4 linked regions of the Schizosaccharomyces pombe genome follow. Changing the gene in region 1 together with any one later gene gives a genetic interaction. Each region holds a gene or a part of one and is shown on either strand. Other genes may lie near its edges.

The links.
Region 2: mutations in ppk29 (region 1) and SPOM_SPAC15A10.06 together harm fitness more than expected from each alone (negative genetic interaction), as found in Schizosaccharomyces pombe (one large-scale study listed by BioGRID).
Region 3: mutations in ppk29 (region 1) and SPOM_SPBC21C3.06 together harm fitness less than expected from each alone (positive genetic interaction), as found in Schizosaccharomyces pombe (one large-scale study listed by BioGRID).
Region 4: mutations in ppk29 (region 1) and fub1 together harm fitness less than expected from each alone (positive genetic interaction), as found in Schizosaccharomyces pombe (one large-scale study listed by BioGRID).

Annotation. Positions count from the first base shown.
Region 1 is NC_003423.3:2,489,846-2,495,780, reverse strand, and holds ppk29 (Ark1/Prk1 family protein kinase Ppk29), read right to left. Parts: upstream 3,936-5,935; 5' UTR 3,859-3,935; exon of another isoform or gene 3,821-3,858; 5' UTR 3,734-3,820; coding exon 3,634-3,733; intron 3,562-3,633; coding exon 3,428-3,561; intron 3,389-3,427; coding exon 1,004-3,388; 3' UTR 563-1,003; downstream 1-562. Other genes in the region: SPOM_SPBC557.05 (arrestin, meiosis specific), read right to left, coding at 43-557; pim1 (RCC1 family Ran GEF), read left to right, coding at 4,953-5,558, 5,734-5,935.
Region 2 is NC_003424.3:3,686,846-3,691,668, forward strand, and holds SPOM_SPAC15A10.06 (CPA1 sodium ion/proton antiporter), read left to right. Parts: upstream 1-1,801; 5' UTR 1,802-1,936; coding exon 1,937-1,961; intron 1,962-2,476; coding exon 2,477-2,793; intron 2,794-2,876; coding exon 2,877-3,596; exon of another isoform or gene 3,597-3,638; coding exon 3,639-4,280; downstream 4,281-4,823. Other genes in the region: cytochrome C oxidase assembly factor Coa2, read left to right, coding at 1,200-1,460; SPOM_SPAC15A10.07 (uncharacterized protein), read left to right, coding at 4,546-4,823.
Region 3 is NC_003423.3:3,805,452-3,808,455, forward strand, and holds SPOM_SPBC21C3.06 (uncharacterized protein), read left to right. Parts: upstream 1-1,638; coding exon 1,639-2,007; 3' UTR 2,008-2,262; coding exon of another isoform or gene 2,263-2,332; 3' UTR 2,333-2,379; coding exon of another isoform or gene 2,380-2,440; 3' UTR 2,441-2,467; downstream 2,468-3,004. Other genes in the region: U2 snRNP-associated protein Sap62, read left to right, coding at 351-476, 793-1,234, 1,298-1,383; trm140 (tRNA (cytosine) methyltransferase), read right to left, coding at 2,263-2,332, 2,380-2,440, 2,495-3,004.
Region 4 is NC_003424.3:3,730,421-3,733,892, reverse strand, and holds fub1 (PI31 proteasome inhibitor domain-containing protein), read right to left. Parts: upstream 1,559-3,472; 5' UTR 1,451-1,558; coding exon 653-1,450; 3' UTR 530-652; downstream 1-529. Other genes in the region: GMP synthase Gua2, read left to right, coding at 1-156; glutaredoxin Grx2, read right to left, coding at 1,912-2,000, 2,085-2,153, 2,201-2,221, 2,469-2,622; NatA N-acetyltransferase complex catalytic subunit Naa10, read right to left, coding at 2,902-2,989, 3,193-3,249, 3,297-3,399. UniProt on the Schizosaccharomyces pombe protein: May play a role in the establishment of transcriptional silencing boundaries, preventing the propagation of heterochromatic silencing.

The sequences.
Region 1 (5,935 bases):
CTTAACTGTTAGCTTGCGTGTATCATTGTCACTTTTACTTACGCGTATGCAAAATACTGTACCTTTACCCTTGAATGGATTTGTCGGCCAGGTCCTACTTCGACGTGTTTAGGAAAATTGACTTGAAATGGAATGTCAACTGTTGAATGATTGGGAATACTGATTATCCGGTTTTTCCCCCTTTTTTTAGCATAATCTAAGAGTTCTTCTGGTACAATGTATTGCCCTTCCATGATGTGAGTTCCTAAACACAGGAAGACTGTTGACGAATGAAACTTGTGTTTACATATTCCAATTATAAAGACTTCGATACTGATCAGCTGAATTTCGTTTACTTTTGACTTATTAGTTAGTGTTAGCAGCCCGTCTATTCCTGCTTTTCGGTGGAAAATTGGTGCATCAAAATCCAAAGTAAGATTGACATCTTTAGTTTCCATTTGCGGGTTGGCAATTAAATCAAATATAATTTCTTTACCAGCATAACTAGTATTAATACATGTAATTACTGGTTCTTTACTAAATCGAAAGAAGCGCTTTCCTTTCTTCCACAAATCCATGTTATCTAGTTGGGTATTTGTTTGTTTACTTGTTCTGATTATTTAACCACGATTGGAATAACGAGCTTTGACAACATAAAACTCTGCGCTGAAAATAAATAATAACTTGTCAATAACTAAAGCTTTTACAATAATCCAAAAAATGGAATTTATATTGAAAAACTGATATTAGAATTTTGGCTACTATGTATCCGAGTTATGTATAGGGAACTCCAATTCCTGGAGAACTAGTGAACAACGATAGATACAGAGAATAACATGAGTAAAAATTCCAAAGACTTGAAGCACAGGCCGTGACATCAAGCGGTACATATCAAAAAATCATCCATCTAAAACTCTTCAAAGGCAACACCGAATTTGCATGAAGGATTTATATATATAATAAGGAAATAAATCATTGCAAAAAAATATAATTAGTTTAAAGTCGGTAAAGTCTGGTTGATAACTCAAATATTAACGTTCTTTTCTGCATTCGAATTGGGTTCCTCGTAATCAACAATTCCCGGATATTTTTGCTCAAATAACGTGTCGTTTAATTCCTCTGGAAAATTTGCAGGTCTATCACTTACGCTTCTGGAGGTTTCTGCACTTTGAATAGAAGCTACAGGCCTCAAATCGTTATTAAAAGACGTCTCTTGAATTTCTGTGTCTGTTAAATCTGGATTATGGAAACTTGAACTTGAGCGGTTAGCATAACTTCGTACACGCTCTCTTAATTCACTTTCACCTTCCAATCCTTCGTCAACATACTTGCTTGGAGAAAATTTAAAGTACGGATTTTTGTCATGAAAAGAAGGACGCTTCTTGTCAAGACTTGCCCGCTCACTATGTAAACTCACGGTTCTTTGTAAACCATTAAAAGTTCCAAAGTCGTCAACATCGGAGGCAATAGTGTTGGCAACAGAAGACGCGGTCGAAGTAGGATAAAGAATAGAGTTGGTTGAATCGGCAACAACGTCAGAAGCATTAATATCAGTACTAAGGTTTGACATATCTTGGGGTTCGATATTTGTCAAAGGATTGGCAGACTGTTGTGTGCGTTGAACGATATAGTCACCTCTAGTATTAGATGTTGTACGATAGAGCATAGTAGGACTGGAGGGGAGCCCCTCTTTAGATGTGTTTCTGGAAGTTTTGTTCGAATCTTTATGAGAAGGTGAATAATATTTGGAAAATGATTTGGCATGTCTAAGAGAATTATTAGAACCAAAATTAGTATTACTCAAATCATCAAGGTTAAAGGAGTGTTGCTCATAAGCCATAGAACGCGCATTGGGGCTCGAAGGTCCAGTAATTTTAACAGACGACCTAGAAGTGCTTGAAGGTCGTCTAGATACTGGACGATCAGGGAAATCAAAAGAAGACCTTACGCTACCAACCCCTTCCGAAAAATTTGTATCAAAGGCAGATATATCCTGAGTACCAGTGGTATGAGTACTATTTGCGGTTGAAGTACCAGCTGTCTGACGGAAACTAGCGAATGCATCATCAGCCAATTTTGCTATCTCTTGTTCCCTAGGGTTATGATGAGAACTAGTCGTAATATTAGTATGACTAGTAAGCTGTGACTCCAACTCATTTAGATCAGGATAACGCTGGTTAACAACTTCCTCAACGTCAACGTTATCGGCATCGAGTCCGGCGTTTGGTGAACCATTATCTTCTGTAACCTCGCTAGCAGAAAATTTTGAAGATGTTCCCGTGACTCCCTGAGATATTGGGAAGGGATTCTTACTTTGAGGTGTGTAGACTTTGCGACCACTAGCTCCTGAGCCAGTTACAGAACTTGATGAAACAACCTTCGGAGACGAAACACTCTGTCTGTTCACATCTTGAGTGTTGTTAAATGTTGCGGATTGGCTGTGGATAGAAGGATGTGCACTAGCTTGAGAAGTGCCAGAGAAAGTAGGTTGCAAAAATGGATTAGGGGAAACGGTTGGTACAGTCGGCACATTTGGTACGTTATAGATAGGAGCTGGCATAGGAGGAGGAGGGGGAGGTCTTGAGCCCTGAACCTGTGGAGTCGGCATGACTTGGTTTCCAGCAAACGGTGTTGTTGTTGTTTGTCGAAGCAAAGACATTATTTTCCGGTTATGCAAATCATAAAAAGACGACTCTCTTCCACTGTATATATCCCTAAAAGGTAAAGCCGTCCCTCTAAGACGACATATCTCACACATCAACTGAAAAATATTTGGACGAAGACAAGGATTCGGCTGAAGTAAAGCGATGATGACATTTTTAAGAGAATGTGAATAAGGAGGAAATGGGGGGAAGGAATATGAAGCTGTTAATATAGCGTTAGGACCTTGTGTTTCAAAAGGAGTTGTATAGTAACAGAGTTTGTATAACAAGACTCCTAAAGCCCACATGTCACTTTTCTCATCAATTCCTAAGCCTGAATACAAATTAATCATCTCAGGGGCACGATATTGGTAGGTAGTAAATGTGTTGATACTTTTTTCTAATGCTTGAATTTCGCTAGAGTTTTCAGCAGCATGCATTGGCTCAGTCACACTTCCAAAATCGCACAATTTAAAAGTATTAAAGCTTAGCAAAACATTTTCTACTTTCAGATCGCGATGAATGAGAGGAGGTCTCAGATAGTGTAAGGAAGCAACACCCTGTACAATATCTGAAATAATTTTTAAGACTTCATGCTCTGACAACCGAGTTTGTAACCTTTGATTCATAAAATCTATCAATCCACCCCCAGCGCAGTATTCCATCAAAAGCAGGATTTCAAATCCAGTGTTGACACCCGCTTTCTCGAGAGGAAATATGCAGGAGTCGATATACGAAACCACGTGGGGATTGGATTTGAGTAGTTCCTAATAAGTTAGACAAAAAAATCAATAACGTTAACATACCATCGTTTCGATTTCAGTTTTCACGAAACGCAGGGCATTCTCGTCTGGAGAATACATGCGTTTCAAAACAGCAGTTATCGGTGATCCATCAGTTTTGGAATTTGTTTGAACAAGATATACATGAGAAAAGCCGCCTAATGAAAAATGTTAGTAAAATAAATCTTTCATTGTAATACTCCTCGATCCATCCAACCCAAAAATTATACCTTCGGCTATGTACTTTTCGATAGTAACATTGTATTTTCCAATTACAAACTTGGATCCTGCTAGAAGCTTTTCGCCCGTGAGAAAGGATGCAACAGACATCCTAGAGAGGTTTTTTGTTCAATACTGGCTGAAGTCGCGAGGTTATTGTTTACACTCTCGCAATTCAATGGGACAGCATCCGAAGCCCTATCTACGTTAGTTGTAAATTTATTATAATAACTTACTCTTTGAAAAGGCTGTATTTACACAGTTTTGATCAAGATGAGCAAGGGATGCCAATTCTGCTGTTGGCAAGGTACTGAGCCAGTCACCAAACACCACAAGTCCCTTCTATAGGGTTAACCTTTGAGCCATTACCGATAGATAAAACCGCCCCCCACAAGACAACTTGCCGTATTTTGAAAATTTCAACTACAACTTTTAATAATTTGAGCTGATTAAGAAGAGAAATTAATTTTACAGTATACTCAAGTTCACAGGCAAACTTGTAGAATCAAGTTGAGTAACATCGTTACCCAAATTTATGACATGGCAAATTCACAGACATATAAATCCAGAAAAGAATAAAGAAAACAGAAACTGCTAACGACTATGTTCATTGTAACTAAATATTAAATCATGAGGGAAAAAAGTATATGGTCCTCATAAAAATAATTTATGAAGAGATTAAAATCGCGTTGCTTGAGTTCGTATTCTCGCATACGATCTTGCTGAACGATGGACACTCCGAGTCTTACTGTAACTTCTTATGACTAATGAGCTTTTTTTTTAAATTTGATCTTTGTTTAGCTATACATGAAACCGCTTTCTCAGATAAGAAGAGGTCTCAAATTTTCAACATTCGACGTGATTAAACGAATTTATATAAATCAAATGAAGTTAAAAAAAAAGAAAGGATTTCATAAAAATTCGTAGCTCACCTTACACACATTTGAACAAATACAAGCTGGGAACTTTTACTGAAGTCAATAACTTATTTTGCTAAACGAAGCTTATGTTGTAATTAACGAATGCTTAATTACAAGCTGCACATAACAACGATTCGCAGTATACTGAATAGTGAGAATCCGTATACAGAACGACTTGTTCGAGTTTTGAAAACAACGTCTCTGCGAAAACAAAAACGACATAAATCGTTGTTTTTTGTCTTTTGTAATATTTTAAACCCAAGCTATAGTAAGTGGTACCAAAAAGTAAATGTAATTCTTGGATTTGCGTCTGGTGATGGTTGCATGGAATACGCGATGACATCTTGTTCTTTTTTAAATTACAAATCGATTGTTAGTAGCAAAGCTAACCCTTCCAGCTAAAACTCATAATGACTTCTAATAGAAGTACTAGAAGCTCAACTAAAAGAGAGGAGGTCTCAAAAAATGGGGTTGAAAAAAGAGAATTAGATGAATCAGATGTGATGAAAAATGGCAAAAAGCCGGTTAAACGTGCAAAGGTCAGCTCTCTACCCAAACCCGTTCGTGTCCCAGGAAGCGCAAAGCGAATTAATAAGATACCTGAACTACCTACGGAACGATTGAACGTTTACGTCTTTGGAAGCGGTTCCATGAACGAGCTAGGTATGGGCGAAGAAGAAATGGATGTCGTTTATCGTCCTCGTTTGAATCCTATTTTATCTACAGATAAAGTAGGAGTAGTCGATTTGGCTGTTGGCGGCATGCATTCTGCAGCCCTTTCTCATGACGGTCGCGTATACACCTGGGGAGTTAATGATGACTATGCCCTTGGTCGTCTTACTAAGGATCAAAAGGATGAGAATGGAGACAAAGTTGACAATGATTTACTAGAGGGAACTCCTTCTAAGGTCGAAGGTGCTTTATCTCATCTACGCGTTACAAAAGTTATATGTAGCGACAATCTCACTGCAGCAATAACGGACAATGGCTGCTGCTTTACTTGGGGTACTTTCCGTGTAAGTAATTTGTTTTGGCCGTGAAAAATTATCATTTGATCTTTGATTCCAAATTCAGGTGCTGTTATCGTTGCAGTGTTGTTTATAGTCTATTGACTCATTGTATCATTTCCCTTCGCCCTTTTGGAACAAATGGCTTTATAAATTTATCATTTTTCGTTTGCTAACATACTAGTGTTCCGATGGTGTATTAGGGTATAGCGATTCTCAAAAACGTACAGCTGAACCGACGCAGATGCGACTTCCCGAAATTTGTCAATTAGCTACAGGGACGGACCATATTATTGCCTTGACTACCACAGGAAAAGTATATACATGGGGTAATGGTCAACAGTTTCAACTGGGTAGACGTATGTTAGAACGTCGTCGACTTCAAG
Region 2 (4,823 bases), on another chromosome or scaffold:
TACCTTCCTCAATATGATTTCATAATTCTCATGTAATACAAGTTTTGCTAATAAATTAATTGAATTCATACATCTATCAATAAGTAAGCAAAAACTACCTAAATAACATTCAAAATATGTTTTAATAGCCTTCGAGCTCAACATTTGAATAGGAAAACGAGATATCGTTTCTCTTCAACACCAAGTCTTTTATTTTGAATTCCGGTATGTAAATATCAAGATTTTTATTGTTCCTCCTCTTTTAGGCTAATGAGTTACAATATTTACTAAATGTTAATTGAAACATCCGATTTTACCCGGAAGTAATAGATAGACTGTGTGCATAAGATCAAATGCAGTACTTTGATTAAATACTAGACTTCCAATAATTTTGCAATACCTTGTTAATTCTTCATCTTGAATAAAACATACCCTTAATGTTTTTCTGCTGCTGGTTCCTTACTCTTTTCTGTTTAACGAGAATTTTCCTTTTGATATGGCAAAGGTTTTGCATGTGAAAATGACATTATTCTTTAAAAAATTCCATAAAAAAAAGAATTGTAAACTGTTGGAATTTTAAGATCCAGAAGTTTTTTCTTTGAAGCACACAAAGGTTTAAAAAACTTACATTCATCGATTCAACGCCATTATTTAAATTCCGTGCAAATATTTTACTCAATTATCCTATTTTAGACTCTATTTTAATAATCATATATACTTCAGCTTGCTTATTAGAAGGCCAAACACTTTGGCTATTTGTTTACCAAGGAAATGAAGGAATTGCAGATCCTTAATATTGAAAAAAGCAAAGCATTACTGTTGTTATTTTCTAATTGTTGGACCCGACATATGTTTTTGTTGTTACCATAAAAATGCTCTTGTATTGCTTATACAGGTCCTTCTTTATTTAATTTCTGAATATCTCGTTTTTGTTTCTGACAATTTAAACTAAAGACACAAAAATTAGTAATTAAAGAATGTTTATTTTTTATTAAACATCAATAACTCACAGTCTTTACTGTTTTAGTCATACATTGAATTGTGCCTTCTGAAGAGATCCTTATACTCTCATTGGTCATTGGCCATTGGGATATTCTCTATCCATATGGTACCTTAGTAGAAGTTTTGTAACTCATCTTCAACAATCGTCTCTTCTTCTTACGATTTAGCTGTTTTTTATAATTTTCTCATGTTTTTTTGTTCTTAAAAATTTCTTTCTAATGTTTCGTACTTTGAAAGCTTCACAGAAAAGGTCACTCGTGAACTTGATGTTCGGAACGACTGCTCTTTTCGCAACTGCCACCGTAATTTTCCCTTCATTACTGCCTTGTCCAGCTATGAAGAACCCATATTTGGATACCCAATCTGATCCTGGATATGAAGAATTACCTGAAAACTCTCGTGTTATTGTCATCGATCAACAATCTCCTAAAAGCTCTCTAGTTGCTTCCAAACAAAACAATCCTCCTTCAAAATCTTAATATAGGTCATCATAAAGCTTGAGAAATATTTTTATTATTGCATATATCAATCTCTCCCTTCTCTTCCTTCTTCATTCAATAGTTTCTAGGATTCCTTGCTTCCCTTTTGCGCTAGGTATTTCCCTAACCTACGTTTAGGGACTCCATAATATAATTTAAATACATTTTTTTTACTTCGAAACATCTTATAGTGATTACTTTCGTGTCACTATTAATATTTTTAGTACACTGACTTAAGTTATCTTAACATTTTAGCCCGCACATCTCGGCTGCGCATTAGGTTCTGGTATCTTGCTGTGGTAGTAGTATTTGTACTAGTAAACCCACTTAACGTCCTTACTATATACAGAAAGGTACTGCCGGTTGCTTCAATTCTTAATTATTTTTCTATTATTGCCTTTAGAGTACTCTAGTCAACTCTCAGCATCGCCAGGTTGTTAAAAAAAAGTTAGTTTACCTTTCACTTGGTGCTTTATATGCTTGATACAATTCTTATAAATGGTAAGTTTCCGTTATTCTTTACTTTCAGGTGCACATATAGTAAATCGAATACTATAACAGGCTATACGGATGAATGACACAAGCTACTCATTTATAGCATCAGCCATTTTGAAAACGTGCATTTTTTAACTGAACAAAAAATTGAGTTTGGAGTTTTACCATACGAAATGCTTGCCTTTTTTTTCTTCCATTATTTGTCAGTCTTTTTTTCTGCTTAATCGTTTTGGGATAGGATCTCGATCGCTCTTTACTAGCATTCAGTTCGTCAATACATTTTGGCATTGAATTAGCGGTTATGCGTTACGTTACTTTGAATAACTTCGAATGATGTTTTTCTCTTTATATAACATTTGCATTTGCAGCCAGCAATGTAAAATCTTTCGCCTTTCTTTTTTCTTTAATTTGGCGTCTTTTAATTAAGCAATGCCAGATTCTAAGCATTGGGTTATTCTCCGTATAGCTTATTGTTTAGTTACCAAAATTATTTTTCAACTTTTATTCTGACAATGTTTTAGTTTTTCGTCGAGATGGCGATGACGACGACGATGATGGTCAAGACCCTGCTTTGCAAGAATTATACTCAAGCTGGGCTCTTTTCATATTACTAGTCCTTTTGATTGGTGCCTTGCTTACTAGTTACTATGTTCAATCCAAAAAGATCCGGGCCATTCATGAAACTGTAATTTCGGTATTTGTTGGTATGGTTGTTGGGCTTATCATTCGCGTTTCTCCGGGATTGATTATCCAGAACATGGTTTCTTTTCATTCCACATATTTCTTCAATGTTTTGCTTCCCCCGATTATTCTCAATTCCGGTTATGAATTGCATCAGGTATATAGTTTTGAGTGAAATGCTATACTAAAGTCTCCATTTCTTTCCTTTATCTTTTTGTTATACTTTTCTAACCAATATAGTCAAATTTCTTTCGTAACATTGGTACAATTCTAACATTTGCCTTTGCTGGTACCTTTATATCTGCAGTCACCCTGGGAGTCCTAGTCTACATTTTCTCCTTTCTTAATTTTGAAAACCTTTCTATGACTTTTGTTGAAGCCTTGTCTATGGGTGCAACTTTGTCCGCTACAGATCCAGTTACTGTGCTTGCTATTTTCAACTCGTATAAGGTGGATCAAAAGTTGTATACTATTATTTTTGGAGAGAGTATCCTTAATGATGCTGTTGCAATCGTAATGTTTGAGACGCTGCAGCAATTTCAAGGAAAAACTTTACATTTTTTTACCTTATTCAGCGGTATTGGAATTTTTATTATCACATTCTTTATTAGTTTACTTATTGGAGTTTCTATTGGGCTCATAACTGCGCTTTTGCTAAAGTATTCTTATTTACGCCGTTATCCTTCTATAGAGTCTTGTATTATTCTCCTCATGGCATACACCTCCTACTTTTTTTCAAACGGCTGCCACATGTCAGGCGTAGTTTCCTTATTGTTTTGTGGAATAACGCTAAAGCACTATGCCTTTTTCAACATGTCATATAAAGCAAAGCTTAGCACGAAGTATGTTTTTCGGGTTCTTGCGCAACTCTCGGAAAACTTTATCTTCATTTATCTTGGCATGTCTCTGTTTACCCAGGTTGACTTGGTTTACAAACCAATTTTTATTCTGATTACCACAGTAAGTCAATTTACACTTATTTTCTTTACTAACTTGCCTAAGGTTGCCGTTACCGCATCTAGATACATGAACGTGTTTCCATTGAGCAATTTGCTCAACAAATTCCACCGTCAGAGAAATGGTAACCTCATTGATCATATACCTTACAGTTACCAAATGATGCTTTTTTGGGCGGGCCTACGAGGTGCAGTTGGAGTAGCGTTGGCAGCAGGCTTTGAAGGAGAAAATGCTCAAACGCTGCGAGCGACTACATTGGTTGTTGTCGTCTTGACCCTAATTATATTTGGCGGTACTACTGCCAGAATGCTCGAAATTTTGCATATTGAAACTGGTGTAGCGGCTGATGTTGACAGTGACACAGAAATCGGCATGCTACCTTGGCAACAGTCACCAGAGTTTGATTTGGAAAATAGCGCAATGGAGCTATCAGACGCTTCTGCTGAACCAGTTGTTGTCGACCAACAATTTACGACGGAACATTTTGATGAAGGCAACATTGCACCTACACTTTCTAAGAAGGTTTCAAGCACATTTGAGCAATACCAACGAGCAGCTGGTGCTTTCAACCAATTTTTCCATTCTTCACGAGATGATCAAGCTCAATGGTTAACGCGCTTTGATGAAGAGGTCATAAAACCAGTGCTTCTGGAGAGAGATAACCTTAAAAATGGAACAAAAAAATAATTGTTCCGATTCATAGAATTAATAGTCTACTTATGTTTACACAGTATATGTTCGTGTCAGTTTAATGAATATGCTTTTGGTCTTACGACCTCGTTTCTCCTTTTATCATTTATGAATTTTTAAGAAGGATTTTTTAATGAACTGATCTATTAAAATTCCCGTTGACTTATAGTTGACGTCTATGGTGTGGCATTCGCACATTACACGTACCCAAGTCGATGATTTTCCAACAACTACCAATTTCTTCCTTACTAACATTTTAAGCATGTCCGTAGTCTTTAGGACCGTAGAAGATCCTGAATTAAAGAGTATATGCACCACATTTACCTCTAGCATATCTGCTGAGTTTGATTCAAACACACTCGTATGTGATTTAGTTGAAACAGACCTTTTTACCGAAGAAGGCACATCTCAGATATTTACCTTTAAGAAGAATGTCCTCATTTTGCCAGCAAATGTTCCTGAAGGAATTGAATTACGGATTCTTGAAGAAAATGTTAGTCTTCCATTGAAGGAGTTTGAACCCATTAAAGTGCCAGCAGG
Region 3 (3,004 bases), 1.3 Mb from region 1:
TTTTAAATTGGAAGCAAATTGCTGCAGTCCCGGCTTTTTAAATATTGAAAGCATATTAAATATACTCATATATGGGAGCATCAATACATTAAATTTATCAAAAGTTATTATTTTTTTTTGTTTTTACGTGACATAATAAAATGGAGAAAAGGAGCTCTAATCTGCTATTTAAAATATTTGTTAAAAAAAAGGCATCGACGATGAGAATTTAGCGTATTGTTCTGCATTGCGATATTTCTTTAAACATAGGGGTTCACGAAAGTACAGCCTCTGCCACCGTCTTTTAGGGGACTTTATTGTCATTGTGAAAGTACAGAAAAATAAGTGTTGGATTTTCTAGGAACTAAAAAATGGATTATCAAAACCGCGCAGGTGTTCGTTTTGGAGGAGGAGGCGTTGCTGGCTATCAAGAAACAAATGCTGCACGTAGAGAGCGTCTTCGTAAATTGGCGCTAGAAACCATTGATTTATCAAAGGTATGTTTAAAAACCACTGAATTCTGAAAATTTGAGTGCTGAATGTCAATTATAATTACCGATGAATTAATCGTGTAAAGTAAGACATGTACGTATGTTACATATTATTGAAGTTTATTAGTAGTTGCTGTTAAATTCGCTAACTATAACAACTAAAATAACAACAATAATAAATGAAAAGGATTTGCTTTCTACTTCCTTGTTTGCTGTTTTGCATGTTACACTAATTGGACATCTTTTTTTTACCCTGTCAATCACCTTGAAGCTTCCTCCTCAAACTCTTTGCGATGATATTTCTATTGCTAATCTCTTATAGGATCCATATTTGATGAAAAATCATTTAGGCACTTTTGAATGTCGTCTTTGCCTCACTACACATGCGAATGAAAACTCTTACCTTACCCATACACAAGGTAAAAAACACCAGACAAATTTAGCCAGGAGACAGGCTCTCGAAAATAAAAAGTCTCAAGAGAATGCACCACAAGTGTTGTTGGGCATTTCTCAATCCCATGTCCAGGTTAAAAAAAGTGTCGTAAAAATTGGTCGACCCGGTTATAAAGTGTCCAAAATAAGAGAAGCCGAAAGCGGAAAATTTGGCCTACGTTTCCAAATAAAGTATCCAGATATTGAAGTGAACGCTAAGCCAAGATACAGAATTATGAGTGCTTATGAACAGCGTGTTGAAGCTCCTGACCGAAAGTTTCAGTATCTGGTAGTGGCTGCTGAACCATACGAATCAATAGCCTTTAAAATTGGTATGTTGGTTTTACTGATTTTTTATTTATATTAACTTTGTTGCGCAGATGCTCACGAAATAGATCGTGCACCCGGGAAATTTTGGAGTTATTGGGATGCACCTACATATACTATCCAATTCTTTTACAACTTAACAAAAATATCGTAAATTTTGAGCTGCTATCCTAAATTTCCTTTTTATGAAACAAAATGTCTTTTCCAAATATTTCGCTCAGTCTCCCAATTTATCAATACCGCAGTTCTTTATGTGTGTAAAAGAATTCGAACTCAATCATTCTGAATTGTTTCTCCACACGTGAATTGTAGAAGAACCGTGCTAGCTAAACCTATTTTGGTGATTTATATACTTATTTTCCCAGATTTGTGGAAGTACCAATTGATAAAGTTGGCTAACTTCTACTGTATGGCGTTCGATAAATTAGCAAATGTCGCTACAGTGGACGCGATTTTTGCGATATCTAGCTCAACTTTCCTTTGGTCTACATGGGTTCTACAACGGACAATATTAAAACGGCCTAATTTTTTTTCTCCAAACCCAGTTGTTGAGAAAATGGTGCATCCAACTTTGATTACTTGGAAATTGTTTTCATTTACATCAGTATTAACTGTTTCAACCTTTACCTTCGCTTCCTGTTTGATAATGCGAACAATTGGTGTTGAAAATATAAAAGAATTTGGTCTTTATGCTCGAGAAAAGCTTAGTTTTGCAAGAGCAAAGCCAGTTAAGGATGACATTACCAGCTTTCCTAATCACAAAATTAGTATCACTTAAATTGTATACTATAAAAAGTAATTACGTGTTTATTTTACACTTTTTAAAATGTACACGGCTTCCCTCTTTCAGTCAAGTCATGATACCGTTATATGAATATTCTATAAATTAATGGGAATCCCTTTATAAAAGTCACAAAAAGCTATGCGTTTATCATAAATGATTGTATATGGCTTCATTGCAGGCAATGAACATAAGCCTCCAAATTCCTGAGTCCATGAGCTTTGGGAAAATTACTTAAGAATGAGTAATTTGTCATTTTTGAAACTTGGCTTGTAGCCAGCAACGGTACATCTTGACTCTTTTTTTTCGGTTTACAATAAGCCTAGTATGGAGATTAGTTCAGATTCGCAAAGCCGTTTGAAAATTTACCTTTTGTCAACTCCATTTTGAATAATTTTGAAATTTTTTCCAAAAACATCCACTAGTTCTTCTATTGCAAAGTTAGTAATCATTAAGGACTAATAATAGTTTTCGTTGACTTTACCGTTTGTCATGTAATACACTCTTGTACCATCACCTCTTATGTAAAAATTTTCACTTAAAATTCTGTTCTTTTTAGCTCTTAGCTGCGTCAAATCTAAACGACCATAGTCACGAAATAAAATTAATCCTCCAGGCTTTAATAATCGATACAAGTTTTCTATAGCTTGTTGCCATTGATCGGGGGACAATGCTGAAAAACAGAAAATGAGTGTAATCGCATCAATAGACGCTTCTTCAATGGATCTTAGTAAGTCTGATCCTGCCAGATCCCAAACCGAAGCACTGCAAAACTTGGCATCGTATAATGGGTTCTGTTTAACAACATCAATGGCCTTTTCTGAATAATCAACAGCAAATATTTTAAGATTTGAGTTTTTGTTTTCCTTCAAAATTGGCCAGATAGTGTTTCCAGCACCGCATCCAATTTCTAAAATTGATTTTTCTCCTGCATCTTCTTTTAGCAAGTCAAGAAGCTCTGGGAACTCTTGCGCAATCCATCTTCTATTCATGA
Region 4 (3,472 bases), on another chromosome or scaffold:
ACCACTTCTGATTTTATGACAGCTGATTGGTACGATGGGTTTAGCATTAAGTTTTTGAAGTTGGTCAGCTCCCGTATTTGCAACGAAGTGTCTGGTGTTAATCGTGTATTGTATGACATTAGCAGTAAGCCTCCGGCAACTGTCGAAATGGAGTAATAATGTTCCTAACAGCATACGGTACCTTTTGTTACATCTTTTATACTTTTGGTTAGAAATTTGTTTAGTTCTTGGATTCTAGTGGCAGGTAGTAGTAAATAAGTTTAGATGAGGTTAAATAATAAACATCTAACAGCTTAAAAAATTTATGAGTAGGCATGTGCCCGAGTGTATGTTTTGAAATTATCAATTCGGTGCTAAGACCGTCCTATTGAAAATAAATACTAGACGTTTTCATTAGGTCCTGCTGGTTTCATTCTTAACACTTGTATAAATGCGCTCTTTAGAAGAGGAACTTACTAAACTTTGTACGCAAATAGTAGAAAACTCAATTATTTAAAGAAGTAGAGATATCCAGTAGTATGCGTTTATTCCGAAATTGAGCATTAAAATTCACATATTAAGAAAAAAAAATCAAAACCAAAATCTTTTACTATTATTTAAATAACATATCCTATCATCTAACATTTCTTGTAATACTTATAAAGTGACCAATTTACATAAACATATCGGATGAACCAGGTGGCATGAAGTCATCATTGTCAGGTTCACCGGGAAATTGAGATCGCGGGCCTTTAAAAGGAAATTGAGGTTTCCTCTCATCCCTGCCGAATCCACGAAAATCACCAGGGCCTGTGGGATCGTAACGAGCTCCTGGTGGTATATTAGTTCGGTTTGCTGAAGCTTGTTCATTTCGAGACCTGTTTTCAGGATGAAAAATAGGATGATTGAATGTAGGAATCATACCTCCATCGTTGCCCATATCAGATCCTCCGATTCCTGCTGGATACAAATCACTTGCTCCTATAGAAGGAAACATTGGTTGTGAGCCAGGCATTGCACCAAATGGTCCAGCAAACCCAAATGGAGCTCTGCTCTTCTCCTGATATGATTCATAATTTAACTCATTAGCCGAGGTATCTTTAGCGGTACGTGCAGCATGTTCAGCAAGCCGATTATCTGTATCAACTGGACAAACCTCTGCAACTAAAGATTCCAAATTCCAAGGCTGATCATCATCTAAACGGAAAATCCTTGTAGCTGTGATATTTGATGAAGTATTAGCACACAAAATATAAATCCATTTATTCCAAAATATTAAACGAGTAGAAACATTCTGAGACTCATTTACAATGTAGTTGAATTCACTGTCTTCAGTTAAGCTTTCAGTGACTTCTTGCAAAACATCTCCGTTTCGTAATTTACAGTTTTTAAATATCGCCCCAGTGTTTAGCATGGATTTATGGCATTTTTGTTGGAAGCGTAAACGATCGTCGGAAGTCGGGTTATTCATGATCAGTGAAAAATAATATAAATAAATATATACGAAAAACCAATTGTATTACTTGGGTTCAGTGAACAAAGGAAAAGTACATCACTTTGTACGTACTGTGTGTGTGTCTTCGTGAGGTCGCTTCTGTTGTGTCATTTATATTACCAAGTGGCAATCAATGCATGGCGACTACTAGAGGTGATGAGATTGAAGTCAAATGATTTCACTATTAAACTTGGTATATAGTAAGTAGAAAAGTAATCTGGCTAAATAACTTTTTCCAAAAAAAAGCACACACTGTGTGTTTTGCAACTGAAGAAAACTTGCTGTTCAAAGTGAGCAGGAAACTAGAAACTGATTGAAGATAAAGATACCTTTAATGTTATAATAGAATTGTTTTGCAACTGCACATTCAGTTCGTTATCTCGTTTCCCTAAAAAATAATATTGTAAAGTCGTTCGCTATATAAATCCTAAAGATAATCATAAAATTGAAGATTTGTTTTCCTTAAGCTCTGCTATCATCTTCGTCAAAGTGCCTGAGCTACGAAGTTTGTTCAAATCGGAATTGCCTTTATATAATGTATTAGTAATAAACAACAGAGAAAAACCAACGAGAATATTAATGGTCAAGGAAAACAAATTTGGGTTCATACCTCCAATGAATTGGTTGCGAAAGAATATGCTGGGTACTGTAGACTGTTTGGTCTTTTCATGTAAATAAGCTGCTCAGGTAAGCATATGATAAAATCAGTTTGTTAACTAAACACACCTTGGATGTCAGATCCATTTTCTAGTGTAACATCAAGTTAGTTAAAAAGGATGAAAAGCAGAACAAAAAACTTGAAATGTTTCGCTATTTCTCAAGATCATGGAAGGAAACAAAAATTTTCGTAGTTTCATTACACAATTATGAGGTTTCGAAAACCCAATTAGACTATTATTTCATATACTTAATTTATGTAGACATAACTCAAGAAACTTTACAATCGATCAACTGAATCTTCAGCTCTTAAACAAATGAAGAATACCATACTTACCTATTTTATCTAACTCATAAGCCTTATACGGAGCAGAGTACTTTGTAAGAGTATTTTTGGCTGCTTTGCAGAAAGGACAGAACGATTTACTAAAGACAGTAACCGGATTGTTTGAGATCGCCTTTTCAACAAAAGCTTTTGCTATAGAAGTCATTTCAGCTTAAATAGGTATTCGTCTAAAAATGCAGTGGATATTGGTGACAAGTAATACAGTATGACTATCGAGGTGTTGGGCTACCTAACACCAAACGACACGATTAGGCAGTTAGATGTGATAAACAAAAACTCGAAATTACAAGAGTTATTTCGAAATATATTTAGTACACCAGTAAGCGAGTACAATCAAATGTTAAATACGCTATCACGAAGTTATAACTGCAGTATCGTACACTACACCCTAATTCACTAATTAGAAATAACGGTATATATTTTATTAGTTGTTCAATGCAAGAGATTGAACGGTTTTTGCTAGTTCGTCGTTGGTTTCTGGTGTATCGAATTTCAAAGTAGAAAAATCTTTGCTAAAAATTGTTAGTAACCTAGATAGTTGTGATGACGTTGAACAGTCATATATTGTCTGAAACAACGTAGGTAATTATACAGAAGTTGACCAAACTAAAGAAAGAACGATTGTCACAAAGATTGTATATAGTTTTTGGAAAGAATACTCATTAAACGATCCATGCAACCATCCCCAACCTAGTTTTTACAACAAAGTACTTACTGCATAGCATAAGCATCTTCACCATCAGCATAATATTTGCTTTCAATCCCTTGAACGCTAAAATAATGTTAGAATCTCTTCAATGATGGCGAGTAAAAACATACTCAAATTGCAAAGTATCACGATAAAGATGAATAGCAGCTCTGTTGCTTTTACGAACATGAAGACTCATATATTTGGCGCCATAAACTTCGACCATGGCTCTTTCTGTTCATTTAAGTAGTTAGTATCTTTTACTTTTTTTAAAAAAATTTTGTTTAAGGAATGGACCGAAAATATC